2 linked regions of the Caenorhabditis elegans genome follow. The protein of the gene in region 1 interacts with the protein of each later gene in a pairwise test. Each region holds a gene or a part of one and is shown in the gene's direction. Other genes may lie near its edges. The genes, in order: bath-30 and mau-8.

Evidence for each region.
Region 2: the proteins of bath-30 (region 1) and mau-8 interact in a two-hybrid assay, tested with the Caenorhabditis elegans proteins (one large-scale study listed by BioGRID).

What each region holds. Positions count from the first base shown.
Region 1 is NC_003280.10:3,336,925-3,353,312, reverse strand, and holds bath-30 (BTB domain-containing protein), read left to right. Parts: upstream 1-6,934; 5' UTR 6,935-6,941; coding exon 6,942-7,063; intron 7,064-7,112; coding exon 7,113-7,509; intron 7,510-7,555; coding exon 7,556-7,703; intron 7,704-7,746; coding exon 7,747-8,024; 3' UTR 8,025-8,095; downstream 8,096-16,388. Other genes in the region: bath-29 (BTB domain-containing protein), read right to left, coding at 2,294-2,441, 2,488-2,884, 2,933-3,054; F14D2.8 (F-box domain-containing protein), read left to right, coding at 3,973-4,008, 4,065-4,154, 4,202-4,308, 4,356-4,580, 5,306-5,398, 5,457-5,739; F14D2.14 (FBA_2 domain-containing protein), read left to right, coding at 5,798-5,899, 5,948-6,031, 6,087-6,193, 6,244-6,493; bath-28 (F-box domain-containing protein), read left to right, coding at 8,379-8,419, 8,494-8,598, 8,656-8,733, 8,781-9,288, 9,330-9,527; F14D2.15 (BTB domain-containing protein), read left to right, coding at 9,776-9,888, 9,935-10,099, 10,154-10,361, 10,408-10,546, 10,600-10,751, 10,798-10,920; F14D2.11 (Ubiquitin-like domain-containing protein), read left to right, coding at 11,242-11,319, 11,369-11,795, 11,852-11,934; F14D2.5 (BZIP domain-containing protein), read right to left, coding at 12,249-12,350, 12,624-12,737; F14D2.7 (DUF4440 domain-containing protein), read left to right, coding at 14,657-14,903, 15,053-15,207, 15,252-15,311; F14D2.19 (USP domain-containing protein), read left to right, coding at 16,197-16,239, 16,344-16,388.
Region 2 is NC_003282.8:13,363,833-13,380,220, forward strand, and holds the start of mau-8 (Phosducin domain-containing protein), read left to right. Parts: upstream 1-14,183; 5' UTR 14,184-14,192; coding exon 14,193-14,392; intron 14,393-14,448; coding exon 14,449-14,650; intron 14,651-15,502; coding exon 15,503-15,682; intron 15,683-16,248; coding exon 16,249-16,373; intron 16,374-16,388. Other genes in the region: srsx-25 (G-protein coupled receptors family 1 profile domain-containing protein), read left to right, coding at 1,337-1,522, 1,999-2,156, 2,614-2,711, 2,761-2,904, 3,224-3,345, 3,875-3,990, 4,441-4,549; agt-1 (Methylated-DNA--protein-cysteine methyltransferase), read right to left, coding at 4,692-4,889, 5,158-5,292, 5,343-5,486, 5,530-5,580; rplp-2.2 (Large ribosomal subunit protein P2), read right to left, coding at 5,706-5,846, 6,200-6,334, 6,392-6,448; popl-7 (Protein kish), read left to right, coding at 6,877-6,900, 6,960-7,069, 7,139-7,241; Y62E10A.24 (Ribonuclease P protein subunit p20), read left to right, coding at 7,246-7,358, 7,418-7,697; Y62E10A.6 (NADPH:adrenodoxin oxidoreductase, mitochondrial), read left to right, coding at 8,167-8,275, 8,336-8,451, 8,609-8,685, 9,675-10,035, 11,373-11,513, 11,565-11,786, 13,086-13,436.

The sequences.
Region 1 (16,388 bases):
CCAAAATGCATGGTCTTTCCCAGCCGACAATCTCAAGAATTGTATGTGGAGTTATCGATGATCTAGTTCGGGTTTCTTCGGAATATATCAAGTTCCCAACAACTAGCGATGAGATTGAAACGATGACGAAAAAGTTTTATGAAAAGGAAGATTCGAATGGGGAGGAGAGACGAATGCCGTGCTACGGTATTGTCGACGGGAAGCATTGGAGATGCGAGCACCCTCCAAAGAGCGGAGCCCTGAATTACAACTATAAAGGGTTCTTCTCTTTCAATTCATTGATTGTGTCCGACTCGGATTACAGAATCCTTTTTGTGCAGATGTGTAAGAACGGATTGAATTCTGACGCACAACTGTACCAAAATGGTCCTCTTCCCAGGCTCTTGACCAAGGCAATTGAAAATGTCGGTTATCGTACTCTTCCTGATCCCAACGTCCTGATGCCACCATTCATCCTCGCGGATAATGGTTTCGGTCTCCACAAGTCGATGATGCAACCATATAGGCCAACCCAAATTGGTCTGAATCCAGAAGAGAATATCAGTTTCAATTTCAAGCTGAGCGGTACACGAGTTAAAGTCGAAAACGTTTTCGGAGTATTGACTTCGAAATTCCACATCTTCCAGCAAAATCTGAGGCTCGAGCCGAAAACGTCGCAGGCACTCATCATTGCTGTCTGTGTGGTCCACAACATCTCTGTCGGACCTCTCGAGGTCATTCCCGACGACCCAAATCGTCCAAAATTTAGAGATCCGTACAGAACTGCAGAGCAGCAGAGAACGGCTTTGAAGAAATACCTTCTTGATCTTTGATTTGAAATCTGGAATGAATACATTGTTAAAAGAAATGCTAATTTTTTTTATTTCAAAATTGAAGTGATTTTATTTCAAAAAACAATTTTTTATTATTTCGGGAAGATTCCATGGCTTTGAGCGGTTCCAAGAAGAGTGAAAAATCGCCGCTGCTCTCTGAAGCAATGAACTGCAATCAGACATCGAAGGGACCAGCCGATCACGGAGCCAACCTGCCATTGAGCTTCTGAAAATTAATATATTTGATTCAATTTATTGTACGAAATCGTTTTTACCCATATCTGTGAGCTAGCAAGCTAGCTAATCGTGATTAATTGTTGGGTATTCCTTCGCGTTCTCCACAAGCAAAATTCTTGTCTGCTCATCACAAATGATGTCGTCAGCATCGCTCTGATCTTGAAAATCCTGAAATTATAACATTCTAGAGGGTTTCTGATGAGAATAGTTATCTTATAACCAACACCAAATACGTTCTTCATTATGGCATCAGGCAGCTTTTCATATCCGCAGAAGAAGTGCTCGGCATCATGATCGGATGCTCTATTTGGGAAACGACCGATGTAGACACAAGCCATGTTGAGTGCCCGAGAGAGAGATTATCTGAAACATTTAAATGTTAACTAAACAGGAGTTTAGAAACTTTAAAACAACCTAACCTCCGTGATAACGTAGTTAGCTTCTCGAGTGAGCTTCTGTGATCCCGTTTGAGCATATTGAGCACACGCGTTGAGCATCTCGGACTGTTGAAGAGTGAGCTTGTTGATTGGGACGATTACTGAAAAGTTTTTTGAATTAAAATAAGTTTTTCTTCAAAATAAAACAGAATGAAACAAGAATCAAGTGGGTAAAATTGTAAAATGAAGTATTAGACATTTTCGCTAAATAACAGGCATTTTCGCTAATTTTGGCAGTAAAAACCTATAATTTTGGTAAAAATCGCTTGTATTCTGAAAGAAGAACTCAATATTTAATTTTTTATAACTGATTTTAAAGAGAAACAAACGAAATATATGAAAAAATCGAAAAAATCCCTGAAAAAGGCCTCCGCAATATCGATTGTTAAAGGGACACCGACTGTTCATCGAATGGGTCCCGCCGCGATTGTCCATTTCGAGCGCTTTTCGCGATTTTTTACTACTGTAAAAAAGTGTAGGAAAATGTCGAAAAATGTCGAAAAATTACGTCACAAATGTATTTAAATACATGTTTTTATTGTTACTTGAATAATGGGGTTATTCAAGTAGTGTCGGAAAATTAAAAAGTGTAGAAAAATTAAAAAGTGTAGAAAAATTACGTCACAACTGTATTAAAATACATAAAAACATGTATTTTAATACATTTGTGACGTCACAAATGTATTTAAATACATTTTGCTACATTACTTGAATAACCCCATAAGGCAAAATATGTATTTAAATACACTTTTTAATTTTCCGACATTACTTGAATAACCCCATTAGTGAAAAATCAATGGTTTTTACCATTAATAACCGGGAATCCGTACAAAACTTCGAGAAACTTCTGAAAATCGTCTACATCAATGTCGTAGAGGGGCACTTCGGCGAGTTTCGCCTCGTAGAAACCGCCGAGGAACAGGGATTCGAAGAAAGTTGAATGAAAGGCGAGGAACTGGAAATTATTTTGATTTTAACGTTAAAATATTCAATTTTTAAACCTTTTTCAGCAAATAAAATCGTTGTCCATTCACCAAAACCACAATATCCGAGTATTCCATCATTTTCTCGTCGAAATCCATTAATTTCGGTGTATAAAATCCAATTGATTTATTAATAAGCACGCGGGCTTCTACAGTGATACTTCCGGCTTCCATAAAGCTTGTTTCCAGCTCATTCCAGCTAATAAACTCGCTCCAGCCGTACGAGGAGTAGAATTTTCCAGAATCGTGTCCAAAACACATGTCTATCTTGCATTTTTGATCCCTGGTGTCGGAATAAACTGAAACAAGCTTCAGCTCAAGCTCCGAGAAGATCGACCACATTTCCTGGTCCTTGAGATTCGTACATCGGAGATAAATGCCGAGATTTCCGTTGTTTCGCTGAATTTGGAAGATCCTGAAAACATATTTTCACAATAAATTCATTTTTCTTGATTTTAATTACCACGGAACATTGAAATATTCCTCCACTGTGCCGAATCTCATATCATTGTCATTCATATTTGATACATCGTTAAATACACAACGGAGCACAAATTCTTTGCCGGTGACTTGGCTTCGGCTCATTTTCAGCCTGAAATTAAGTTTAAAATTTTGTTAAATTTCAAATTAAAATTAGATGAAAAACATTGAAAAAAAACGCGGAAAATGAAGCGAAATTCAAATTCAAAAAATAGATTTTCGAAAACTTGTTTCACTGACTACGGTAGATTTTTGTTTCTGCAAAGTGTTTGCGTCCTTCACACTTCACTCCACGCGCAATTCTCGCACTACGGTATTTTTATTTATAAAATTTTTTAACTGGTTTTTTTTTTCATTTTCCGATTAAAGCTATCGTTTTTTGGCCGAATTTTTATTGCGAAACGTTTTAAAACCTGACATTTATTCCTTAAAAATACGTTTATAATCTATTTTTTCTTCAGGAAAATGACCGAACTGGATAAGTTCGAACTTTGGCCCGAGTTGCCGTCGGATTTCAAACTTCAATGCATTCAAAAAATGGATTTCGAAACGAGGTTATCTAAATTTCACCAAATAACTTATTAAAAATTATATTCAGATTTAACCTGCGATACACTTCCAGCGAAGAGATGCGCCTCGTGGACTCCCAGAAGATCTCATTTGAATTGATGAAAATCAATTGGAATTTCATTTATTTCGAAGTAACGTTTACTGGAAAGCTAGAAGCTGATCTACACGTTGACGGGTGGTGCAGTGAACGTAAACTGCTCCCACGTCTTCTCTTCGCTTTAAAAGTTGGAAAAATTCAACAACTTCACATCTGGAATACCACCGAACGGCTTCTAAACGAAACACTTTCTCCATTTACGGGATCGATTTCATTGAATGTCAAAAACCTTCATCTCGGCTTGGAGAGCAACAACGATATTCTATTCTTTTTGGAAAAATGTGACAAGAAACAACTGAATACTATTGAAACTGACCAAAGGGACAACGATATGATATGAAAGAAATGAATATGATATGAATGATATGAAAGAGCTTGTCGAAGCATTAATTGTTAGTTCGACAAGCGATTTCCATTGTATTTGCAAATAATAATTATTATCATTTAGGTCTCCAACTACAAAAATGTGGCTTTCTCTAAATGGTACTATCCCGTCAACCCAGAAAATATGGATTTACTCGTGAACTATCAGATTGAGGTTTGTTTCAACAATTTGCGAACAAGGCCAACAAATATTACTTTCAGAGTTTGATTTCGAATAATGCAACAATTGGAATAAATTATCGATTCAAAAAATGGGATGCCGATCAATGTATGGATATGATGAGCACAAATTTCAAAGATCGTGTTGTGTGAGTGTTCCCTGATGCCGAACATTAAAATGACTGATTTTTTACAGCCATTTCAAGAAAAACGACGAATTGAGACTTCAAACTAATAATCCTGCCAAACACATTCTTCTCACAAAATGCGATCGATATTCAAAGGCGTGGGGAATTTTGTGTCAAGTCATTCCTTCGGATCTTCACGAAACTGGATTTGTTGCCGTGTGGCCAGGCTGGAATGATAACGACCCCGATGCGGATAGAGAGCCGATCAGAAATTATGATGAATGGGATGACTGGTATGACTCGAACAGCTATCATTCACTATTTTCTTAAGAAGAATGGCTATGGTTACCTGATTAATTAATCTTGTTATTGTTTTGAATTATTGTTTTCCATTAAAGCATCATTTGTTATCTCGTTAATTTTTCTTCGAAATACTGTTTCACTTCAGCTCTTTTGTACCTTCAAAAATCGATTTATGGTGCGTCCATAGTCTGCGGAAAACGGGAATTTCCCGCGTGCGGAAGCGTCTGCGGAAAAAACAAGGAGTTTCTCGCTTTGTTATTGGTCAATTTCAAAATAGTGAGCGTGTTCAACCAATTAGAGGCTGTAAAATTTTAAACTGAGCAATGGGAAAACAAGAAACAACAGCTGATTGGTTTGCCACGCCTACTTTTTTGAATTTTGAGGAAAAAAAAGCGAGGAACTCCGGTTTTTCCGCAGACTATGGACGCTTCCGCACGCGGGAAATTCCCGTTTTCCGCAGACTATGGACGCACCATTAGAGTTTTCCAAATCCGAAATTGAGAAGACTACGGTAGAACGCAATGTCCGCAAAGTGTTCGCACACAATGTATCACATCTCACGCGCACTTCTAGAAGTTTCGTAGAGTACGGTACATTGACTATTTTTCACCTTTTTCTTCAGAATCCTGGTTGAAAATTGTGCGAAAACGTTATTTTTTTTGCTTTTATTGTTATTCTAAAAACACCAATTAATTATAAATTATTGATTTTCCAGTAAAATGGGCGAACCGGAGTACGAAACGAATTGGTGTGATTTGCCGCCGGAATTCAAACTTCAATGCATTCAAAAAATGGATTTCGAGACGAGGTAAGTCACTTTCCTAATTGAAAATCTTGTAAATTTCTATTCTTTTAATAATTTTCAGATTCAACCTCCGCTACACTGCCAGTGAAGAAAAAAATCTCGTGGGCTCTGAGAAGCTTCACTTTTATCAAGTATATTTCGAAATCTTAGGATATTCGAAAAGTCTTGTAGCTACATTTCTTGACAAGGAGAATGCTCAATTGGATGTGTGCGACACCGAATCTGTTGTCAAAAGCCATGTTATTCCACGTCTTCTCTATGCTGTCAATGTCGGAACCATGCAGAAGCTCTACATCCAAACAGACTCAGACAAAGGAATCAACGAAGTGCTCGCCCCGTTATAGGAACCAAAAATCTTTGAATGTCAAGTTCTTGAAGCTCGATTCGAATAACACAAGCGAAATGCTTTATGTTCTGAACAAGTGCAATGGGCTCGAATCTGTCGAGATTATTCACTACAACAACGAAACGACTGATATGAAGGAGCTTGTCGAAAATCCAATTGTAGGTCGTTCCAGTTTCCAACGAAATTTCACCTGTAAAATGTTTCAGATTGTGAACTGCAAGCAGGTGACAATCTCAACAGTTGGCGGCATGTACGGCTCACGTGAATTGCTTATGAACTTTCAAATTGAGGTATCGTTAATTGGTTCTTGATGGAAAAATTAATAAAAATCAAAATCACTTTCAGCGGCTCATCTCGGGTGATTCTGCAATTGGAACTCGTTTCCGACAAGGATCGTACGAACCTGACCACGTAATGTCGTTGGTCAATAGTTGTTTCAAAGACCGTGTTGTGTGAGTCTTCCATTAGTGCAACAGTTTATATATTATTTTCTATTTTACAGAAATTTCCAAGACCATCAAGGATTGAGACTTCGCACCGACAACCTTGCCAAGCAAATTCTTGTCAAGAAGTGTTGCAGGGACGATTTCGAATTCGAATGGGGAGTCTCGTGTCGAGTTATTCCGTCGAATCTTCAAGATATCGATTTTGAGGAAGATTGGCCGATCTGGACTGACATCGATTCAGATGAAGATTGCGACTATTCTTCTGACGACGAATATGAATATCAATACAACTCAGATTCTGACTGATTTGGATTTTTCTAATTTTGTTGTTGTTATTTTGTTTTCTTTTGTTGATTTGTTGAATAAAGTTGTTGTGTTGAAGTACTTTATGAAAGTGAAAACGGCCAGTAAAATTTTGGTTGGGCTTATTGGGACGAATAGAGCTTTTACACGAACATTTTACGTTGTTTTTCACATAAAAAAGTGTAATTTTAATTTTAAAAATCAACTACCGCAGTGCGAGAAATGCGCGTGAAATCCAGTGTGTAGGACGCAAACACTATGCAGAAACGAAAATCTACCGTAGTCAGTGAAACAAGTTTTCGAAAATCTATTTTTTGAATTTCCATTTCGCTTCGTTTTCCTTTGTTTTCAATAGTTTTCTATTTAATTAATTGTTAAAACTTAACAAAATCATATTGTAAAACAAAAATGCTCTGTTTCGCACCATTTAAATACCAATTTCAGACTGAAAATGAGCCGAAGCTCAGTCACTGGCAAGGAGTTCGTGATCCGTTATGTATTTAACGATGTATCAAATATGAATGAAAATGATATGAGAATCAGCACAGTGGAGGAATATTTCAATGTTCCGTGGTAATTAAATTCAAGAAAAAATTAATTTATTGTGAAAATATGTTTTCAGGATCTTCCAAATTCAGCGAAACAACGGAAATCTCGGCATTTATCTCCGATGTAGGAAACTTAAAGGCCAGGAAATGTGGTCAATGTTCACGGAGCTTGAGCTGAAGCTTATTTCAGTCTACTCTGACACCAGGGATCAAAAATGCAAGACAGACATGTGTTTTGGACACGATTCTGGAAAATTCTACTCCTCGTACGGCTGGAGCGAGTTTATTAGCTGGAATGAGCTGGAAACAAGCTTTATGGATGCTGGAAGTATCACTGTAGAAGCCCGTGTAATTATTAATAAATCAATTGGATTTTATACGCCGAAATTAATGAATTTCGATGAGAAAAAGAAAGAATACTCGGATATTGTGGTTTTGGTGGATGGACAGCGATTTTATTTGCTGAAAAAAGTTCAAAAATTGAATATTTTAACGTTAAAATCAAAATAATTTCCAGTTCCTCGCCTTTCATTCAACTTTCTTCGAATCCCTGTTCCTCGGCGGTTTCTACGAGGCGAAACTTACCGAAGTGCCTCTCTACGACATTGATGTAGACGATTTTCAGAAATTTCTCGAAGTTTTGTACGGATTTCCGGTTATTAATGGTAAAAACTATTGATTTTTCACTGAAATAATAGTTTTTTTCAGATAATACTGTTGAAGGAATCCTTTTGCTGGCTGATATGTACCAAACGCCGCTTGTCTCCGAGCTTTGCGAGGATTTTCTCATTCAAACCACCGGAAAAACCTACAAGAAGAAGCTACAAATGGCGATAAAGTTTAATTTGGAGAATTTGAAACAATTCTGCATTTCAATGATCAAATCTCCCTTCGATCTTCGTTCTATGATCCCATCGGACATTTCCAGCATCGATCACTCTACGTTGGCGGCTCTTTTCACAAAATCACTCACTTTAATGAAATAATATGTATTTTATCAAACAAAATCCATTTTACTCGCTTCAGATGTGCCATTTAATAAATTCTAGTGCTTCTTAATTTTTTTGTTGGCTTTTATCTCGTTTTATTAAACGGTTTTTTAGTTGAATATCAAAAAAAAACTATTTAATCTGACTACGGTAGACGGTGAAGTACGCAATACACAACTGCGTACCTGGCATTTAATTTGACGATTAGTGTGAGCAAGTTTTCCGATAATTTGTTGTTTTTTGAGTTCTTTTTCATTTTTCGCGAATTTCAAAGAATTTTTCAATGAAATTGTACACTTTAATTCACTTATTTTTCAGAAAACTACAAATTTCAACCAAATCGCTCGGAAAATGGCGGATAAATTGGCGAACGTGTTGGATTCGATTAAAATGTTCGTTTTTTTCACCGCTCACCGGTGAAAAATTTTCCAAACAGTTTTTAAACTAAAATTTGTCTTAATTTCAGCTCCTCCGCGCCAACGCTGATTCCTGACAATCTGGATCCGATCAATAGTTCCGACGATTCTTCGCTATCCGATTTGTCGATGGAAACGGCGCCGGAAACATTCTTGTATGTAAATATCCATTTAAAAAAATCAATATTATACCTAAATTCTTGTAATTTCAGCTCAGAACCTCCAACTCTGTCGGATATGTCAATGGAAGTGCTCGGCAAAATTGTGGAAAATCTGGATCCATTCAATCGGTACAATCAAATACTATGGATTTTTATAGAATCAATAGTAATTTCAGACTTTCCGTCCGCAAAGTGTGCCGTAAACTGCGCGATGCCATCGATTCCACCGATCCAGGCTTCAAGACCGTCGAGGTTCGCGTCACTGATGATATGTGCTTGCTTTGGGCGAATAGTCAGTCTTCTTTCTACAGTATGACGGTTTCTGGAGGCATAATTAAAGGCACAAAGCGTTCGGAAAAATCTGAGTTTACTTCTTTGAATGGACTTTTGGATGAGCTTGCTGTGGTGCTGAAGAATCCTAGACTTCAGCTGGACAAGCTCGTGATCTACGCTACCATGGAACAAGGAAATATTGTGAAGTGGTTCGAAGCAAGCAACCCGATTCACACAAAAATGCTCAAGCTATCCGGATTCGAGCTCAGCGATTTCATTTTCCTCCTGTCCCGCTTCAAACCAGGTGTTCTTGAGGAAATCGATATTTCGTGGTACTTGCATCTCGCGAACACGCCATTCACACGAAATTATCGATTAACTGACTTATTCGAGATGGAACAGTGGAAGCAGGCAAAATCGATTATCTGAAAATTATCTATATGTTATTTCAGATCATCATGAATATTCCTCACTTCAAAAGCGGCGTAATTTGGGCTCATCAATCAATTCAACCGGAAGTTGCGAGAGTTTTCGTCCCAGTCTACGATTTTGGTTATCTTCGTACTTCTGATATTAAGGAGTTCCACGGCGATGAATTCCTTTTGACAATCTGCAAAGAGTTTTTTAAAGTCGAAAAGAAAAATTGTTAATCTTAACCTTGTTATTTTGTTAATTCTTGAGTGAAAATTAATACTCTTTGTTGTTAAAAATTGTAGAAATATTTATATTAAAATACTATTGTTTAATTCGATGAGATATATTTTTCTGCGTTATTTTTAAAGTTAATATCAGTTTTCCAGGCTTTTCCTCATAAGAACCAAAAAAAGTTCTGCGATTTTTAATCGGAAAAATTGAATTTTTAGCTAAAAACCATTATTTTTCAGATCTCCGTCACAAAATGAGCAATTCAAAAAAGGAATTCGTCCTGCGATTCAATTTAAAAAAAACCTGGCTCATGAAGAAAACAGAGCATTATACTAGTGAAGAGGAGGATCATTTCGGTATTAAATGGTTGGAATTTCCCCTAAAAATCGATTTTTAACGAATTTATTTCCAGGTGGCTGCGCGTAACTCGTGATGATCAATTTCTCTACGTAGATTTGGGAAAAAGTGGAACGGGATCCACTAATTTTCATGGAAACTTCAATGTTCGTGTCGAATCGGATCATGGAGTAATTTCAGAGAATTTCAAGTTTTCTGGAAGCAAAAGCGATGCTGAAATGTAGTTTTTTTTTGCGGAAAATCTATAAAAATAGCTGATTTTCCAAATTTTCAGACCGTCAACTTCCAATCGTTGCGAATCTTTCAAATGGAGCAATTTGGATTATTCAAAATACCTTTCCATCGAAGGACACGTGGAAATTATCGATATGACCGGCTATCATGATTTCCAGAAGCGTGTGGATTTCGGTAGTGACGTCACTAGACGGTTCGCTGATACAGTGCTTATTGTGAGAGGACAGAGGTTTTATGTTCTGAAACAGGTATCGATTTACTCCAATTAATCGAAAAAAAATTGTTTTTTTTCAGCACCTCGCTCTGCATTCTCCATATTTTAAAAATCTCCTCAAAGAATGTACATTGGATTCAGAAATTCAACTTCCCGATGTGGATACAGATGATTTTCAGAAATATCTGGAAATTTTGTACGGATTTTCTACTATTCATGGTGTGATTTGCAGAAAAATCGCAAAAAATCTATAATTTTCCCCCAATTTTCAGATAATTTCGTCGAAGGAATCCTGCTTCTCGGTAAATTTTTCGAGACGGAGAGAATTATTACGGCTTGCGAGAACTTTTTAATCGATAAATCGAGCAAATCAATAAGAAAATTGTTCGAGTTATCTAATAAATTCCATTTGAAGAAGCTTAATGTTAGTAATTTCTATGGGATTTTCAATGAAAAATCGATATTTTCAGAAGAATTGCGTTGAAAACATCAAAACATCGACGGCTCTTCGTCTCATGCTTCCACCGGACGTTCTCACCATTCATCATACTGCAATAGTCGAGCTTTTCCGAAGATCTTTGCAATTTCATTGATTTTTTCCCTCGATTTTTAAATGTATATTCCAATGTTTTAATGAATGATCACTCTTCGACATTACAGAGAAATTTGAACTACTAGAAGCTTGGAATTTGAATTTTTGTCGGAAAAAAAGCAAGTTTATCCGAAAATATCAGGAAAAAACTTTCAATTTCAAAGCAAAAAATCCACCGTACTCCAAGAATTGCGCGTCAAATATAGTGACTGTAACGTACACACTGCACATTCGGGAATCTACCGTAGTAAAAAACATTTTTTTCCGTTTTTTTTTTGCAATTCTCAATAACTGAAAGTTCTTTCAGCGATCCTCCGCAAAAATGACTGAAAAGCAAGATTTGATGTCTGAATTTCAAAAACTTCGCCAGGAATCTTCAAAAAGTCATTCTTCACTCACGGCTAGTTATATTCGGATTGATTTAAATTTAAATTCTTCATTTTTTACAGACTTCGCCATTAGAATATCGATTGATTGAAGTTCAAAAATGTTGCGAGAAGATTTCAAAGCGACAAGATGCTCAGGACGAGATTAACACTTCAATTCTCGACGAGCTCCACAAAATTCAAAAGAATCAGAAAAAATTGCTGGAAGAAGTTGGAGCTATTCGAAAGGAAGTGGATTCTATGAAAGCAACTACTGTAAAGGAAAATGAAGTGAAAGATGACAGAAAACTATCGCTAAATGAGATGCTACGTAAAAGATGTCTTCAAGTAAAGAATACAAAGATGAAAAATTCTTCCATGCCAAAGTTCCAGTATTTTGTTCGATTAAATGGAAAAACTCGCACTCTTAACGTTAATGCTTCGGATACAGTTGAGCAAGGAAAAATGCAATTATGTCATAATGCTAGGAGTACACGGATGAGCTACGGAGGTAGGAAATTATTCTTTAAAAAAATTAAATAAGTATGTTCACCATTTGTTATTCAGGAAAGCCGCTCTCCGATCAGATCACTTTTGGCGAGTACAACATCAGCAACAATTCGACGATGGATCTGCATTTTCGTATATAGTTTTTCTGATTTAATTCGTCGACAGTTTGTTTTTTTCTGTATCTGTTAATTTTTTCAAGATAATAAATTTCAAAAAATATGCAATTCAGTTAGTAACGAAAAAAACAAAAAGCCGGGCATAAAATCAATTTTTCATTCAAAATAAAATATAGCACAAGAGAGTCCTAAGCCGTTCCACTTCCCGATCCTCCATCACCACCATCATCGCGAGGCTCTCTGAAAAATTGGCAAATTTATGAAACTTTTAGTACGAAAACTGTTACCTTTTGTGGAGCAGGACCGGCTTCACGTCGACTTCAGCAGCTTGACGAGCTTCAGCGAGTTGACGGGTGCGCGAGCGCGTCAAGATTGGCGAGCGAGGAGCGATCGGAGCTGGAGCCACTGGCACCGGTGCTGGAGCTGGATTTCAGGGGAGCCTGGAAAACAAAATTTCAAATTTTTAACGAAAAGTAGTACATGTAATTTTATTTTAAAAAAAGCCTCGAAACTTAAAGAAAATGCAGTTTTTTTCAACAAAAAATGGCTAAAGCTTATAATTTGAGTTTTCAAAATCAAAATCAAAAGTCAAATAAACCAGAAAAATATGCCATCTTAACCGTAAAGTTATTTTAAAAATTGCAGAAAATGCACCAAAAGCTCAGCTGTTTTTTCCTCAAAAATTCAAAAGTACGGGAAAAATACATACTTACCAGTGGAAGCCCTTGACGTGCAGCCGCTTCTCTATCCAGCCTTCTTTGCCTCATCACCTCGTTCATATGTGCGGCATTTCTCCGATCTCTTCGCTTCTGGGCAGTTTCAAACATGGTGAACACCAAGTTGAGCTGAAAAATGCAATGAGTAAGTAAAAAAGAGCATAGTATTGACTAGAAGCGAATAGTTCAGAGAAAAGATGCTAAACGATCAAATACAAATAAAAATTAAAAGCACAGGCACAAATAAACTAAATAAATTAGCAAAATTCTGGAAAAAAGCTAATGCGGCAAAACACATATCGATTGAAGACATCACCCAAGACGGCCGATGAGAGACACCAGAGAAAAAGAGGGAAGTGTCCCTATCCCCGTAACAAGATGAGAAGAACGCACCGTGCGCACTGTGCACTGTGAACAAATCCTAGGGAAAATCGGATTGGGGTAAACTTTTTCAGAGGGTGAATCCATGGGATGTTATAGGAGGACATTGCCATTATGATACAGAAGTTTTCAATTTCCAAATAGCATTTAACGGATTTGTATACCTAGAATTTCTTAAAGTGAAGATGGCTCGGTTCATTTTTTTTGATTAATCTTTTTGTACAACTGTCATAACGAAAAAAAAAATCGAATTACCTACATAACTGTAGTTTGCTTCCTTGATATAAATTTTGACAACTCATAGTCGAAAAACGAACCGAGCCATCTGAATTTTAAGAAATTTCAGGCATGAAAAATTAGATGTACCCATGGAAATGAAACTTTTCTCCATTTTCTAGAAAAACCATTTTTTCAATCACAAACACCCAAATTTTTTGAAACTTCATATATTTATTCATTTAGGTCTGAACAGTAGATAAATACAAAAAATTGATTTTTGATTTATTACGATTGAAACCGTGATGGAATAAAAGCAGAATAGTATACAGACAGAGAAAATAAATACGTAATACATAGGAAGAATAAACAAAAAGATACGAATAAATTACAAAAAATCTATACTAACCGTTCAAAGTTTGGCTCAAATTCCGGTAAAAAAATTGAAAATTAGCATCAGAAAAATTGCTTTTGAAATATTGGAAAAGCTAGCTGCTCAGATGAATCAAATTTAAATTAGAAAATACCAAATAAAGAATGTACGAAAGTTAATTTTAAAAAATGCAGAATTTAACAAAAAGCTGTATTTTTCAAAAATTTAAAAGTACTGCAAAATCATATGGAGTCATTTTTTTATTTCATAAACCTCTTCAGCATAGTCAAAAATACCAGAATATGCCAATCAAAGTATAATAGCTTGAACGGAAGTATTTTTTTAAAAATTGAAAAAAAATATATAAAAGCTGATTTTTTCAAAAATTCAAAAGTCCTGGAAAATCATATGGAGTCATTCTTTTTTATTTCATAAAATTCTTCAGCATAGTCAAAATTAACAGAATATGCCAAACAAAGTATAATAGCTTGTACGGAAGTATTTTTTTTACAATTCAGAATTCAACCGAAAGCTCTTGTTTTCAAAAACTCAAAAGTTGAGATTTTTCAGGTCGAGTCTGGAAGTCAGCACCACGTCAAGGAAAATGCACAAAACGCCGAGATTCCAGCAGCCAACTTCGACCTCTGAGTGCCGTGAAATTTGTAATAGAGCACTTTAAATTTTGAATTTGTGTTTATTTAACTTAAAAGAGAAAAAAATAAAAAAATCAAGAGCAATACAACACACTTTTCTAGAAAATTTACTACTATCAATATATCATATTTCAAATAAATTACATATCGTGTCTTATTTCAATAAACGTTATATTTCCCAATTTTCTTAAATTTTTATGTACAATTCGATTAAGTTGCCGCCTAATTGGTGTGTTCGTCAGCAAGGGAGTCGGGTTTTTGTTTTTTTTTTGCAATGTTCTTGGATCAATTTCAAATCTGTTCTGTTGTTGGTAAGTACCTTGCGCCAGCTCCAATAAAAATTTCCTGAAAAAAATCTCGGAACCAACTCTGAACACGTTTTGCAACACTTTCCCTTCAACCAAAAAATGCGTTTTAATTCGATTTCCCTCTTCCCTACAAAACTTTCCCTGTTCCTCCTGTTCTGCAAAATAATGCGGCTCCCAACTCTTCTCAGTCTTCTCTTCCTTGTGGCATTTTCTACTGTGAAATGTAACTATAGGAGTCGTCAAGTGCCTTCAGGGTGGGCTAAGACGGTCCTAGAGAATCATATTCACGCGCTTGGAGGAGCAATCAGGAGCCAGAACAGGGAGCTTTTGGGCAAGTTGTTCAGAGGTAAAAGTTCTAGAAAAATTTCCTTTTTTCTGGAAAATTTGAAGTACGCCTAACTTTTTTTTGACATTCCATGCTCTGGCCACAAAATAACCAGCTTGTCATCTGAAAAAAAAACACAATCTGAAAAAGTTTCAAAATTCCTTTCCCAGCGGATGAAACAAACACAATTGAAATTCTTCTTTCCAAGTACAAAACTGCAAAGTTCTCTGTGCAAAACGCCCAATACGTTGGTTCTGACTACAAGGAGATTCAGGGAAGTGTCCGGGTAAAGCCTGAAGGAAAGATCGTAGTCACCTTGGCCCATGTGAGTGGAAATCTGTAAAAACTAGAGGAAAAAGAGAATTTCAGAATGGAAGAGCCCAACTGGATGGATCATCGAAAAAATTGGAGAACGCAGATCATTTTTGAATGTTGTTTGAATAAAGTACATTTTTAAGCTGTCAAAATAGAAATTGAGGTCCCTGAAACTACCATGGTTTACAGAAAAGATTTAATGAACTGACCTGAATGCATAATTGTAAATTGTAAAACTATTTTTTTTAAACAATTTTCGGTACTTAGGGGTTTCGTTCCCCCATAAATGTTTTAATTTTTTACATTTTTTTCTTGTCGATTTATGTTCAATTATTCATATCGCTTTTCTGATTTTCAGATTTGATTCCCTTTGAACCAGTTTTAAAGCTACTGAACTCCCAATGTGCATCAATAAATGAATTCTGCAACAATAGCTGTATCAACTATCTGTTTGGGTTCACTCACACCTGTTGCCACCAAAAACAAAAACATTATAATAATATGAATAAGACTTGGTTTTTTGTTTCGCGAGACAATACTTTTATCGTGACAGTGAAATAAAAATATCATTTTTCTTGGTTCAATATTTGTTTTATTTTTTAAAATCATTTTGAATAGGCTTTATTATTGAAATAAACGGGAATCTTTGTTTGCACGTCACAATTTTATTGGGCAATTTCTATGGAACCATTGAATGACCTGCTTAGTCATATCTGAGGAGTTCATGAATTCAAAACTTTATTGAACTGGGAAACAGCCAAAAGTGAAAGACGTGGCCGCAAACAGACATAAAACTCGACCATTTTTATAAACCGCTCTTCGACTGAAACATGCGCCGCCGGGATTGCCGAGTTCCCTTCAGGATACTCTGCTTTTTGATTTTTTTTTTAATTTTAAAATGTTTTGTAGAGTGAGATTCCAGTAAATAAATATACATAGCTGCATATCCACGCAAATAAGGTTCCATAATTTTCAGAAGTCAAATAAAAACTTTAGACAATGGGAAGTGCCAGCTCGCTCGTTTTAGAATTAAATTCAACAGGTAACTTTATTTTTTGTAGTACTTTAATCACACCTACAGCTAAAAATATATCAACGAAGTGTGATCGAGCTGAATAAATTTTACCATAAAAGTTCATGGTTTAGGCATCGAACCCGTTCTTAAGAATATTGATTTCTCAAACCTTGGCG
Region 2 (16,388 bases), on another chromosome or scaffold:
TTCTCAGCCAGGGCTGAGCAGCCGCCCAAAAAAATCGGAAAATTTTTTTTTTTTATGGAAATTTTTTTTCGGCGATCGGCAATCGCCGATCGCTGAAACTTTTTTTTTTTCGGCGAAAATTGCCAAAAAAAAATCGGCGATCGCCGATTGCCGATTACCGATCAGTGTGCGTCTAATTTTTTTCAATTTTAAAATCCTAATTTTAAGAGCTCTTTCAAATAATTTTTTATAAAAACAGGAATATTAGGCAACGAAAAGCACTCCTTGATACCTTAAAATTCGAAAAGTAGTGAAAAATAGTCCGAAAATATACCTTTTTCCTACTTCAGAGGGGTATATCTTGGACTATAAAATTTCATCGGCGATCGCCGATCGCCGGAAAATCACGAAAATCGCCGATCGCCGATCGCCGATTGCCGCTCACCCCTGTTCTCAGCGTCGACAAGAGTTAATTTCGGGGCGCCTAGACTGGGTCGAACATCGACATGCTCACCATGGAAACCATAATTTTTTCTCTCTAAATTTCACTCCCAAGTTTCTATTTTTTTCTCATTTTATCAAAATTCCCATCGCTTTGTTTTCTCTTATTTTAGAAAATACTAGGAATCAGAGAAAAAACAGGAAGTAAAATGAATAACGCAAATAAAAACACTGTTGTATATAATTGAAAAAAAATCATAATTTGGTCACATTCATTTATTTCTAAAGTTTCTGTTCAAACATTTCATATAACGTTTTACTAAATGGCAGACGATTTTTTCCGACAAATTGGCAAACCGGCAAATTGCCGATTTGCCAAATTTGCCGGAAAAAACGGAATTTGCGGACAATTTTTAGCAAATTGTGGTTTTGCACACTTCTTTTTGGAAATTTCAGAATTTCAATTTCAATCGGCAAAATTATATGAATGTTCCTACATTTATTTCGAAAAGTAAGCAAATTCTATCAAAATATCTAAAGAAAGCGGGAAAAAAAATTCAACAAGGCACAGTTTTATGTGTTTCTGTCTTATAAAAAATCCCTCTAAACATTTCCGGCACATCTGATATCCGGCAAACGGCAAATCGGCACTTTGCCGAAATTGAAAATTTTCGGCAAATCGGAAAACCAACAATTTGTCCTTCTTTTTATTCTTTTTCAGTTCTGATCGTACATAATCCTTTGAATCAAAACCTTATCACAAAAAAAAGATGTATGAAATATTCCAGAACCAGTTGCAAATCGAGCACTTTCTCATCATTTCCGTGAGAAAACGATTGTTGCCAAGCTTCACTTCATTGCATACTCCCGAATGTCAAGCCATTTTTAGCCACTTTTTTCTTTTTGTTTTTTTACAATGAATTCCACAAAGAATCTTGTTCCAACTCCAATGATATATTCAACTATGGCATTATCAATTATAGGATTAATCGGGAATATGACTATTGTACTTGCCACTGTTATTAGTAAACGTCTCCAATCGAGATGTAATATATTAATTGGACTTTTGGCACTTTCTGATGTTGTAGTTTGTACTTATTTGGTGAGTTTTTAAAATATTCGAAATTTCAACTTTTTTTGAGCTTTTGTTTTATCCAAACGCAAAATTTTGACAAAATTGTGTTTGTCGTGTCAATCCCCGGTGCCATATTTTTGGCACAAAAGTTGCAAAATTTTGCTTCTGGGTTTGGTTTTATATGAGTATATCAGAAACCATTTTCTGCATTTTGTCGTCAACTCTGATCTCTCTAAAGCTAGAGTAAAAACTAGTCAAGAAATTGCCGTTTTTGTGGAAATTTGAATTTTTTTCAATTTAATTCAAAAATTAATTTACATACATTTTTCTGATTTTTAATTTTTTTTTTCAAAAAAAAATCGGAAAATTAAACAACATTGCGCGGGAAATGTGGTGTATTTGTGTGGTAAATCGCACTATCTGCAATTACCACCAATAAATAATATTTTACGATCGAAATATTTTTTTTTTCGAAAAAACAAAACTTAAAAATGCGTTTTCAGATTCATTTACGAGTTTTGATGTTCTTGGACATGTACATGTTGACTTCAACCCAGTGTTTCCTACTTTCTGCCTATGGTTTATTTGCTCTAAATATGCAAAGTTCATTGTGCCTTATTATAGGATTAGATAGACTTTATAATGTCACCTACCCTTTGCGGTAAGATACACAAAAAATCTCGCCACGAATAAAATATTTCGAATTTGAAGCCGATCAAAAAAAGGATGTACCTTTAATAATACAGTAACCGGTTTTCCCTTTTTGGTGTATTTTCTAAATAGTTCAAATGCTTACAGGTGGTGCCAGGCTGTCCCATTACGGTTTGATCTACAAAAAATGCGGGAATTTTTCGCCCAAAAAATATGACGTGAGCACGTTCTTAACCATGCGAAATCAGTTGAGAAGTCTGCGTCTCTTCTCCCGCATTTTTCGAAGATCTACGTAGATCAAACCAGACACTCTGACACCACGTGATGCTTCAATAAAATAAAGCTTTTGAGAAAAAAAAATTGAATGGGTTACTGTAACTCTTATAGGCGCACACTTACGCCGCCTCGAATTCGAAATTTCTTCGTTCGTGGCGAGACCAAAACTAATATATATCCCGTTCCTGCAGATATTCCCAACTTCCAAACTCATTTTACATTGCCCTTTTCCTTTTTTGCGTGGGATTTTCCGTTCTTATCACTTATTCCGGATATTCTTATGCTTCGGGTACATCAGAAAACCTAGAAACAGTGCTGTAATTAATTTTTATTTCCAGATTCAGAAATAGTTCTAGTATGCTTACCACCAACAGCTTATACCGATAAATCTAGAATTATATGGATTGGTTCGAATTTTATTATTGCAATTTTAGTCATTTTTGTGTATGGTGGTGCACAAATTCGTTGTCGGATTTTGAGAGGTTCGTTTTTTGCGTACTTAATACACCATAACTCACGCGCAATTTTTTCTCAAACGTGTGTAGTGTCAGAGTGTCTCATTTCGGCTCGATCTACGTAGATCTACAAAAAAATGCGGGAGAAGAGACACAGATTTCTCAACTCATTTCGCATGGTTAGAAACGTGCTGACGTCACATTTTTTTGGAGAAAAAAATTCCCGCATTTTTTGTAGATCAAACCGCAATGGGACAGCCTCACACCACGTGAAACAGCTCAATCCAAATCAACATTTTGAGCTTGATGTCTGCTATTCCCAAGTGCTTAAACTAGACTTTTTCAGCCCGTCACGTGCACGAACAATCTATGGATGCAGTGAATCGACTGCTTAAATCGTTGAGCATTGTTGTAACAATATATGTCTGCACGTGGTTTCTCACGATCAGTTCACTTGTTGTTTCTCAGGTACAATATTTGTTGGGAAATGTCTTCTGATTTCAGGCATAAACAATATAAAATATTACACGTAGTTCTAGCTAAAAAATACGCGAGTGCGCGTAAAATGTGATGCATTAGGTTGGTAAATCGCACAGCCACGCTATTACGGGAACACAAAACTCTGAGAATGCGTATTGCACAACATATTTGACGCGCAAAATATCTCGTAGCAAAAATACCCGCATTTTTTGAAGATCAAACCATGATGGAGCAGCCTGTCATCACGTGCAAAAGCGCTACAGTAGTCATTTAAAGAGTTACTGTAGTTTTCGCTACGAGATACTTTCCGCGTCAAGTATGTTGCACAATACGCATTCTCAGAATTTAGTGTTTCTGTAATATTTTGCAAAAACCATTGCGATGCATTCGATTTTACGCGCAAAGTTCAAAAATTGGGAAAACCAGAAATCAAATCATTATAATATAAATCGAATTCACTGAAATTGAATTTATAAACTCATTATTTTTACTCGACCAACTTTTCCCCAATTTTCAGTTGATTACCTTTTCACCGCCTGTCACCGCAGAAATTAATCGACAACTTGGCTGGCTGGTGATTATCAATGCTTCACTCAATTTCTTTGTTTATCTTTGGAGAAATTCAGAATATCGGTAAGGGAGTGTTGTATTATGGAGACGCAGAAAAATGCTATTGAGGTGCAAGAGCGCTCCAACGCTAAACGGGTCTCGTTAGGTGTTTGGCGGTAAAATCACGGATTTCTGGCTTCCCTCATAAATTGAAATGGAAGAGTTTGCCGATCTAGGCCATTTTGGCTCGGCCGTAGCCGGGGTAGATTTACGGCGCGTTGCGTGTCGCGTCGCGGTTCAATTTCAGTTGTAAAACTAAATGAATTTTTCCGTGTGGAGTACACGACTTTCCCACGTGTTATCCGTCAAGCGATTGTCAATGGAGCGCGAAAAATTCAATGGGGAAGGCCAGAACCCCGTGATTTCTGGTTTTTCCGCCAAACCTAACGAGACCCAACTCACCGTGGAGCGAGCTTGCACCTTGATTTAAACAAGAAACATTTTTTAAATCCGTTTTAAATGCAATTTTTTCAGAAAAGCATTCATCCGACTTTATGGACTTTCTCGACTCTTCAGCGTTGAAAATACCTCGATTGATGCTGCAACACGAGTAATGAAGTCTTCTCATGTTCGAGTTGCATAATATTTGTTTGTTTCAATAGTGAATTAATAAAACATTTTGAATTATCAGCAGGGGAGATCATTTGTTATGAACAGGAATCACACAGATGACTTGAAAAAAAAAGCATATCTACAGTACTACTTCAAAACAAAAAGAAGTGCATTTACATAACTGAAAATCTGAGTTCAGCGCCTTCTGCCTGCAATAGGCGACGCTTCTTCGCGATTCCCCAACGATATCCTGATAGATTTCCAGTGCTGCCGATCACACGATGACACGGAACAATGTAGGCCAAGTTGTTGCGAGCACATGCCGAGGCAACAGCTCTCACCGCCGACGGATTCCCGATTTCTCGAGCAATCTGTAAAGGGTTATTGTAAAATAAGCCATTATGAGTAATCTTAAAGGCGCAGGGGCTATTTCAGATGGGTCTCGGCACGCAAAAAGTTTATAGTATCCTTTTTTTCAATTAAATTTCTTTATTTTCAGCGAACTCTCATTTTTCAGGCCAAATAACAGGAACAACTTATATTTTTAATGAAAACAATTTTTCAAAATGAAACCATAAACTTTTTCTCGCCTAGACCCATCTGAATAAATCTGTGCGCCTTTAAGAAAGCATGGCTCACATCTGAATATGAGCGAGTTTCTCCTTTTGGGATTTTTTGAATGGCGCTGTAAACTTGCATTCCGAAAGCCGTGTCTCCTTTGTGTACCGCATTGACTTTGATCGTTGAATCAAGTGTATTCAGAGCTTGCACAATCTGAAAAGAGCCGCAATTGGATGCGCACACTTAAAATAATTAATATTTACACCGGAGCTTTGTGTTGGTTTTCCTGGAATGAAGTTAACTGTGGGATAGGCGTCATGAAGTTCCTCCATCTGATCGTCTAGATCATCATCAAGAAGATAAATCGCCACAACTTTCTGACTTCCAACACATTCAGCAATCAGAGCCTGTCAAAAGCCAGTTCAGAAATCTGGATCTCATTTTCCTCACCTGTCCCTGATCCGTCTCTACGACTTCATAGACGCACTCACGGATGATCATTTCTACTTTAATAAAATTGATGTTTTTATTCATTGGATTGCTTCTGACTTTCAGTATATAATGTTTCAAAACATGGATGTGAAGATGACCGGAAAACAATAACAATTTATTAACATACAATGATTTTAGTCGAAAAGACCGAATCCCATATCATCGTCGGATTCCTCCTTTGGCTCTTCTTTCTTGGCCGGCTTGCTGTCAGCGGCTGGGGCAGCTCCTCCGGCAGCTGGAGCAGCGGCGGCGGCTGGGGCGGCTCCTCCGGAAACCTGAAAAAGCACAATTTGAATTTTTCTTATTAAATTTGTGACCAACTTGGGCACGGTTTTTAAAAGCATGACAACAAATATATAGGCTTTTCACGCGGTTAAGCCAAGAAGACATGGAAACGGGAGTAAAAAGGATTCCTAGAAAAGGAGGTCTCCGAAAGAAATGTGTACTACGCTAATACAAGTCGAACACTTCGAAGTGTTGATGAACAAAATTTAATTTTCAAGCCGTCAAAGGCCTTTTTTTCTCAAAAATTTCCGAGTTAAGCATCGCTGAATTTTACCAGTGCAGTCAACTTTTTTAGGACTTCATAACATTGTTCGAGGAATTTCCATAAAGGTTGGATACGTACCGAAACGAGTCCAGCGGATCCCTCAGCGATGAGCTCTTCGACTGTCTTTCCTGCAAGTCTGGAGACAACGAGCTTGGCGGTCTCAGCATCAGCATCAACTCCGACAGCGCTCAAGATGTTCTTGAGGTCGTCAACCTGAAAGAACACAATTGAAATAAATGTTAAAATGTTTCAATTCCTTTTAAGAATTACCTTTGGGTTGGCATTTCCTCCGAGGACGGCGAGCAAGTAAGCCGAAACGTAACGCATATTACCTGCAAAACCATAACTTTAATTTTAAATATTTCCAGGAAAATCTGGCGATAAAAATCGAAAATTGAGTATTTGCAGATAGTTTCAGCATCATGATATGTCAAGTGAAGCGCAAATTTTTTCTGAATCGATTCAAGATAATTTTGTGAAGAAAAACGCGGAAATCGATGAGAAAAATCATAGGAAAAATCGCAAAAAAAGAAAAAATTCACTTGACCGAGAGGCTGGCCTACTGTCGAGGCGCGCGTGGCGAGACCCACTCGTCGCGAAATGTCGTGTCCCTTTAAACAGCCAACATTTGCAATGCATTGAAATTGCAGATTTTATATTATTTTCGAGGTTTTAAACTACTTTTCTTTAATTTTTCCGTATTAAACTGAGTCTGAATCAATATTTAGTGATAAATTTCAGCAAAGGCACCTTGTTTGGTTGCAGAAACAGCAAAACTGGTGAGTTTTCTTGCTGATAAATATTTCAAAAATGAAAATTCATTTCATTGTTTTTTCAGTCGGCAATCTTCAACTTCCAAAGTCTTATCTCAGTTATCCTTCTTCTCATTTGCACGTGTGCCTACATCAGAGCCTTTGCACCGAGAATAATCGATAGAAACAAGGAAGGGTGAGTGTTTTTTTTTTGTTGAAGACGCAGACTTTTCGTGGAGAAATCGAACATTCAAAGCATTTTCAGTCTCCTCGGCGTTTTCTGGAAGTGTGCTCGAATCGGTGAACGTCTCAGTCCGTGGGTATCGATCAGTTGCTTTTGCATGGCATTTGTTGTGCTGTTCCTTTAAAATAATGGCTATCCGCATGACTCCATCATCGAAACGATTCGATGAAAAAACAAACGAAATGAGGCGCCGTCCGCCTGTAAAACCAAGCAGTAATCCTAATCATATTTATATCACAAGGTGATTAATTTTTATCAATTTAGTTGTACAATTTCTCATTAAATAGTGTTTTTTTGCAGAAAAACCAACGTCGAATCACAATCAAAATCCACCGAGGAGATGTTGAATAACGCATTCGATGAAGTTTTCATCCATGGAATGGGAGCATCTATCAATAAAGCTCTAGTTTTTGCGATGGAAGTTGAGAGAAGATTCGGTGGAAGTGTCAAGTCTGATATTCAAACGTCTACTGTACAATGTACAGATGATATTGTATCACTTCTGGACCTTGATCAAAGCGAGACACGTCATCGTTCTGTTTCTGCCGTGCATGTTCATCTTTATCGTGTTGCCTCGTAAATCTTCATTCCACTGAATATATATTACACATAATTTTGTCAATGGGTCTTATTTTTTTGCCTACATGAATTAATTATTTTTTCCTTTGATTTTTTAGTTGTTCTTGGTTACTCTTTCCTATTATTTTCTACATTTTCAATCACCGAGTCGCCAAATTTTTCGATTTTTGCTCAAAAATTGCGGAATATTACGCGGAATCCGGTCTCGACACGACATTTTTTTTGTCAAATGTGAAAAGGTGTGCGCCTTCAAAAAGTACTGTAGGTTCAAACTTTCGTTGCTACGGAAAAATTTATTTATTTAATTATTTAAAAAAAAAACTAAAATTTTTAACAAAATCAGCATCAAAATTTTTAAAAATACAGTAATCTTCAAAGGCGCGCACCTGTTTACATTTATTAAAAATTTGTCGTGTCGAGACCTGATACAGTAAGCGAAATTTCGCGTCTGAATAATAAATTAATTTAAGATGTTCGGTAAAACATTACTACGAAGGATAGCCTGCTCGAATCTCAATTTAAAATCAAGAAAACTGTCCGGAAAGCCACGTTTAGCAATTGTGGGCTCCGGTCCCGCAGGTAATAATAGAACAATTTTCTGGAAATTTCGTAAACTATTTCCAAAAAAATTAAATTTAGGAATGTTCGCGTGCAACGGATTGCTTAGAAAAAGTAATTTCTCGGTAGATGTATTCGAAAATTCTCCAGTTCCATTTGGATTAGTTCGGTATGGTGTGGCTCCAGATCATCAGGAAGTGAGATTTATTCGAGAAAAAATTAAGAAAATCGGTTCTTTTGGCCACAATATTCAATTAAAAACGGAAAAATCAGGAAAAAATCTTCTCCGAATTGCATATTGGTGCCAAAATACCATTTTAACTAAAAATTATTGTGAAAATTTCAAAATTTCAGGTAAAAAACGTGATAAACACATTTGATGCAATGTTCGAAAAGAATCGTGAACGGCTGAAACTATTCTGCAATGTGAAGTAATTATTTAATTTCTCAATTATTGGAGGACTGTGTCGAGTTACGCAGCTCGTGTACTCCACGAGGAGAAGAATTTTACAGTTTTTATTTGCGAAATTCTTATAGAAAGTTTATTTTTAAAAAGTCAAACAAAAGTCAAAAAATTAAAGGAAAATTTTAAAGCCAAATTTATTAGATTTTTAAAATCTTATTCATATTTTTCAGTTCTTGCAATTAATCCAGATAAAAAACAATTAAATCCCACTTAAAATTGCATGTTTTCCTCAAATTTAGAAGCATGAAGGTTCGAAAATCTTTTTTTTTTTTTTTGAAAAAATCTCACAAAAAACCAAAATTTCCATATGAAAAGTTGGGAAAAATGTTTAAAAATCGACCTTTAGTTTCCAAAACTTGAAAATTCTTTAAAAAATTCAGTCTTCTCCTCGAGGAGTACACGAGCCGCGTAAATCGACACGTGGGGGGTTGTCAAGAGTGTCGGTTTTCGATTGTTTCAACAACAAACAACGGAAAATGCTCGATTTTTGAAAAATTGATTTTTTCGATTTTTCGATATTTCGAAAAAAAAATTTCGATTTTTAAAAACGTACACTACTTGTTAGCTTAAAACTTTGGACATTTTTCTTCTTTTTAGAGTAAATTTTAATATTTTTTCTCATCAATTTAAACGAAATTAGATTTTTAAAAAAATCATATTTTATGTTCAATTTTTCTAATTTTCTCAGAAAATTGTTCGTTTTTCGATTTTTAAAAATTCGAAATATCGAAAAAATATTTTTGAGACCCCAGGAAAACAGTATTCACATAAACTTGTAAAACTTTTTGTAAATCCTGTTTCTTGGGGTCTCAATTTTTCGATTTTCCCTCAAAAACTTCAAAAAATCGAAAAACGACACTCTTGGTGGTCGTGGAAGAGGTTTTCCACGGCCATTCTTGCATTTTCAAATACGAAAAATCATGCAATTTTTCAAATTTCATACTTTTTTTTCAGCATCGGACGAGACATTACATTTGATGAGTTAACACGTGGCTATGATGCAGTCCTTCTGGCATATGGATCATATAAAACACGAACTTTAGATATTCCTGGAAGTGATGCCTCAAATGTAATATCTGGATCAGAATTTGTTGGATGGTATAATGGAGTTCCAAATGCATCAACACCAGATCTTACAACATCAAATGTTGTAATTGTTGGAAATGGAAATGTTGCTCTTGATTGTGCACGTGTACTTTCAACAGCTTCTTCTGGATTATTAAGGATCAGTGATATTCCTGGAGATCGATTGAATGTTCTTGAAGGAGCTAATGTTAAAGATATCAAGATTTTAGGACGAAGGGGACCAGAACATGTGAGCATTCTGAAATTAAATTTTTTTTAAATATGTTAAAACAAAATTATCCACTTTTTATTGTTCCGCCTGAAATTGATCTGAAAATCTGAAAAAGAGAAAGAAAAAATCCCAAATTTTCATATTTGAAATTTCAAAAAAAAAAATTTCTGTAATAACATCGAAAATGTCCGATTTTCAAAGCTTTTAACGAATCTTTCTGATATTTCTTTTATTTTTTAATATTTTTTTACTTCGAAAATTTCTTGTTTTTCAAATTTTGTGTTAGAATACCCAAAAAACTGAACATTTTAGATTTTTAATTTTATAAAATTTCGAATTTTCTAAAATAAAATCTTTAAAAAATTACAAAAAGCGCAATTTTTTGTTTTTTTTTCCAATTTTTAATGTCAAAAATCCGAAAATGATGGTTCTTAATTTCAAGAAAAAAAAACAATTTTGTAGATTTTTCGAGAAAAAAATTTATTGAAAAAAAACATTTAAAAAATTTCCGATTTTTCTATTCCAAAAATCGAAAAAAAATGTTTTTAGGTATTTAAAAACCTTAACATTTTAATTTCTTTAATTTCATTTTTTTTTGATTTTTTGTCTATAGAATTTCAGCAAAAAAGGCTTTTTCAAAAATTTAATTTTTTGAATTTTTGGTTTTCTTAGCTTTTCGGAAAAAAACACTGAAAAATGTTTGATTTAAAAATGAAAAAATTCAGAAATTCCGATTTTCAAAAAAAAAAACCATAAAAATCGATATTCCGATTTTTCAGAAAAGCCTAACTTCCGCATCTATTTTCCCGATTTTTAGTTAAAAAATAATCAAATTTCGTATTTATTTTTTCAATTTCAAAAAACTAGCAATTTATTCATAAACATGAGCACATTTTGATTAAAATTGTTTTTTCTTAAATTGAAAAATATAGTTTTCAATTGAATTCCCCAAATATTCCCCGATGCAGATTTTGTCCCGATTTTTCGTCAAAAAAATTATTAAAAAATTCTTATTTCAATTTTGAAAAATTAGCAATTGTTGTTCGACTTATTGAAAAAAAATTATATTTAAAAAATAAGTTCAACAATATTTTTCGGTCTTTACAAAAAAATGTGATTCTTAATTTTTTTTTTTTTTGGAAAATCGAAAAATCTAGTTTTCAATTCTTCAAAATTCTCCAAATAATCCCTCCCGAGACAGATGCTCAGAATGACCCCTCTCCCCCTCATTTTATGCTTCCTTCCGTTCCATTTGAGCAACCAGACGTGGTTAATCGATTCTGCTGTCCCCCTAGGTTCTCTCCGTCTCCTTCAATGTATTCTCCTCACACATTTTATTCTCCAATTCCTTTCAGGTTTCTTTCACAATCAAGGAGCTCCGCGAGCAATTCAAAATTAAAGATTGGGACAGTAAACTGGAAATATCTGAAATTGACGCTAAAAATTTAACAGAAAGCTTACCGAAATTGGAGCGGAAGAAAAAACGATTGACCGAGGTATTTTTGAAAAAATAAATAATTTTTAGTTTAAAAAAATTCAATTTTCAGGTCCTCGTAAAAAACATTGGAATTGCAAATGGACTTCGACAATGTCACTTTATTTTCCATCGAATTCCAGAAAAAATTATTGCAGATTCGAATGGAAAAGTTCAAGAAATTATTGTAAAAAATAATGAAACTGGACAGGAAGAAACGTATCCATGTGGATTATTGATTTATTCAATTGGATATCAGACACTTGTTTTAGATGGAGTACCTCAGAATGATAAGGTATTGAGTGTGTGGAAATTTCGAGAAAAAAATTCATATGACTGAATTTTAACGTTTTTGCGAAGTTAGGAAAATCAAATTATTAGAAAAATGAAAAAAACATATTCTGGATTTTAGAAAAATCAGTAAATCTATCTCTATCAAGAAGCCGCCGAAAAAATGTCAAAAAAAGTGAAATTGTTGTCAATTTTACAGATTTCGTGTATAAAACTTAATAACCCGAGCGGAAATCGATAAAACTTTATAATTTCATATAAATTAAAAATTTTTCTTGCTGAAAATTGTCTGAAAATTTTGAAATTTCAAATCAGAAATCAGAGAAAAATCAAGAAGAGAGCAAAAATGTCGAAAAAAGTTCATTTACCATTTGAATTTTTAGAAAATTGAAGAAAAATCGTTCAATCAGTAAAAAACTACATTTTTTAAGAAAAAAAAATTCAAAAACCTCACGGCAATTTGCCGATTTGCCGGAAATTTTCAATTCCGGCAATTTGACGATTTGCCGATTTTTCAATTTGCCAGAAATATTAATCTTCGGCAAATTGCCGATTTGCCGGAAATTTTCAATTTCGTCAAATTACCTTTTGCCGATTTGCCGGAAATTTTTAATTCCGGCAGATTACTGATTTGCTGGAAATTTTCAATTCCTGCTATTTGCCGGTTTGCCGATTTGCCGAAAATTTGCAATTTGCCGGTTTGCCGGAATTTGACAATTCCGGCAATGTTCCGATTTGCCGGAATTGTTAATTTTCTCTAATTCGCCGGTTTGTCAGAATTTTCCAATTCCGGCAATTCGCCGGTTTGCCGGAATCGGTCATTTTCGCTAATTTGCCGATTTGCCCGAATTTTCCGATTCCGGCAATTCACCGATTTGCCGGAAATTTTCATTTTCGGCATATTTCCGATTTGCCGGAACTGTTCAATTAAGACCGTTTGCCGGTTTTCCGATTTGCCGGAAATTTTTATTTTCGGCAAATTGCCACTTTGCCGGAAATTTTCATTTTCGGCGATTTGTCGAAAATAAAAATTTCCGGCAATTTGCCGGTTTGCCGATTTCCGAAAATTTTAAATTCCGGAGATTTGCTGATTTGCCAGAAAATTTTTGGCAAATTGCCGGTTTCCTGGAATTTTTCAATTCCGGCAATGTGCCGATTTGCCGGAATTGTTAATCTTCGTCGATTTGCCGGTTTGTCGGAAATTTAAATTGGTTTAAATTATCTGGAAAACTATTATGACCCATAATTCCCGGATTCAAAAAAAAATCATAAAATCTCTGCAAATATATTTTTTTTATTTCAGAAAATGATAGACATGAAAGATCATTGCCGTGTAAATATGGTTGCTGCGTGTTCATCACAAGTGTATGCAACTGGATGGTGTGCTCATGGACCACATGGAATAATTGTAGACACTCAACAACAATCAATTTTTGTTGCCGATCAAATTGCCGCAGACTTTGCACAATTTAAAGATAGCACATCTAATGGAGTTGAAGAATTACTTGAAGATCGAAAAGTTCCATTTATATCATGGGATGAATGGAAACAAATTGATAGACAAGAACAAGACACTGGAAAGCTATCTGGAAAGATTCGAGAAAAGTTCACAACTTTTGAGAAATTTCTCACGAAATTGAAGAAATGCAATTAGAAAATGCCATAAATTATCGAGTTTTCTTTCACCCTTTTTTCCGGGTTTTACTGGAATTTCAGTACATTTTCTGTATTTAACTAGACACTTCTAGATAGAATAAATCTTTTTTTTTATTTTTTTATTGGATTTTTTTCCAGATTTTGGTCATTTTGCCAAATTTATTACCTTATTTGAATTATTTGATATTCTGATCCAAAAACAAATTGCATTTTAATGAGAAATTGGAAAATTCCCAGTAATTTTTGAATTTTTTTGATAAATATTTTAAAAATTTGCAAAAATATTTGAAAAAAGTATCAAATTTCTCATATATTTTCCAAAGAAAAAACAATTAATTTATAGAAAAGTCTGAAAAACGTTGAAAAAGGTAAAAATAGGAATTTAAAAATTATATAAAACGACCGATTTTTAATTGTTTTTTAAATTTTGATTAATTTGAAAAATTTAAAAAAAAACTTTTTTTTGGTATATATTTTTTTCAGATTTTGGCAATTCTGCCAAATTTATTACCTTTAATTTGTGTGATATTTCTCTAATTTTAAAAAAAGTTCCTTACGAAACTATCAGGAAATTTTACAAAAAATTTTAATTAATAAAATGCTTGAGAAGAAACTTTTTTAAAGAAATTTTCTCACCAGTAGTTTCAAATTTCTCATGATTTTTCTGAAGAAAAATTAAATCAAAATTTCTTTTTTTTTTTTCGAAAAAGATCAGAAATATAAATTTAAAAAAATATTTTTTCAGAAAACTCTAATGAATTTGGAATCACGAATTCTGGACGGAAAGCCTGCGGGTTACTGTAGCAGCTCAGAAGGTGAAGAGGACGATTTCAAAGTTGTAAACGATGAGGATGAGCATCAGGCGAATGTAATGAAGAGAATGGGACCATCTTCGAATACTGGAGCAAAAGGAGTGCTCAATGAGTTCAAAGCGTTCAGAGAACAGACTAGATTGTGAGACTATTTAAAAAATTCTTAAAAATTAAAAAAAAAATTTTGTAAATTTTCAGAGCTGTCGAATCAAAAAATCAGAAATTAATTGAGCAAGCGAAGAAAGGAATGATGATTGGATCGAAAGAAGAACGAGAAAAAGCACAACGAGAAGATGATGAAGATGAGGATTTTGAGATGACTTTGGAGGGATTAAAAGCGAAGAGACTTAGAGAAATGAGAAAAATTGCAGCAAATCGGGTTATTGAAATGACTGATAAGGTATAGGAACAATCAAAAAATACTTTTTTTTTTTTATTGTGAAAACTTTTGAAAACTTTTTAGAAAATATGGGAAAAAAAGAAAATTTCTCCAAAATGAATAAGAAAAATTGGCAAAAATTACCAGAAAACTGGAAAAAAAATTTTTTTTTCACTTTCCGAGTAAAAAATTAATTTCGAAAAAAAAAATACCAAAGATTTTCGATTTTTTTTCTAGAAAATTCAAAAGTCTCTCAATCTTTTTCTAGAAACATTTAAAAACTTGTCGAAATTTCAAAAAATCAAAATTTCTAAAAGTTTCGATATTTCCTTTTTTGATTTTTTAGAAAAAAACTTTTAAAATTATTTTTACAATTTTTAGTCGGAAATTTATTTTTTTTTAATTCGAAAAATTTCGTTATTTTTCAATTTTTTTCCACAATGACGTCGAGAAATTAATATTTTGATTTTATTTTTAAAAAATCAATTTTATTTTTAATAAAATAATAATTTTTTCTAATTTCTCGACATCGCCCCGTTGTCGTTAAAAATTCAAATATCGGCATTTTTCGAATTAAAAAAGTTGCTTTCTTTTCTTAAAAAAATCAAAAAAGGATATATCGAAACTTTTTCGATTTTTTCTCGAAAATTTAAAAAAAATCAGGTTTCCGTTTTTCGAGAAAAAAAAATTGCAAAATAATAGAAATTTTGATTTTTTTTTAAATTTCGACTAAAAATAAATAAAAAACGATTTTTTAACGGAAAATGATAAATAATGAAAACTAAAATTATTCAATTTTCCAAAAAAAATTAGCTTTTCTTCTTCATTTTATCGATTTCAAACATCCTTCAAAAATGCTCCAAGAAATTTCAGAAACAATATTCGGATGCCGTTGATGGAAGTTCATCATATCTTCTCTGTGTTCTAATATATGAGCCTGAATCCGATGAATGTGAATATTTGACACGAATCGTTAAGATTCTCGCCGCCGATTGTCCGAAAACCAAATTCGTTCGAGCGACAAGCACTCTTCTTGAAATGAGCAGAGCATTTGTATGTAATACGTTTCAGGGTCCCGACACGACAAATTTTTAGTTAAATGCGAAAAGGTCTTGCGCCTTTGAAGAGTACTGTAGTTTCAAACTTCCGAATTTTCAAAAGTTTTAAATTTTTTTTCGAAAGCACTATACACGTGATGTGAGAGTTTCTCATTTCGGCTTGATCTACGTAGATCTACAAAAATGCGGGAGAAAAGACGCAGAGTTCTCAACTGATTTCGCATGGTTAAGAACGTGCTGCCGTCACATTTTTTTGGGCAAAAAATTCCCGCATTTTCTGTAGATCAAACCGTAATGGGACAGCCTGGCACCACGTGCGTATATTGTTTCTGAAAAATTCAAATATAACAATAAAACCACATTCAATTTTGAAAACTCGTGAAAAAAAACCTATAGATATATGCAAAATCTATAAAAATTTCGGAGAAACGAACATTTGAAGTTACCACAATCTTTAAAGGCGCAGACGACAAAAAAAATTTTGTCGCGTCGAGACCTGGTACCGTATTTTTATTTTTAGCACAAATTTTCGAGTCTGGCCAATATTTTTTTATTTTTCAGAGAACGAACGGTGTGCCGTGCCTTCAATTCTATTCGAACGGAAATCTCATTGGAAATTTCGTGAAAATCTCCGCAATACTGGGACAGGATTATGATTGCAAAAAGTTGACCAAATTCTTGAGAGGGTACTAATTTCGCTG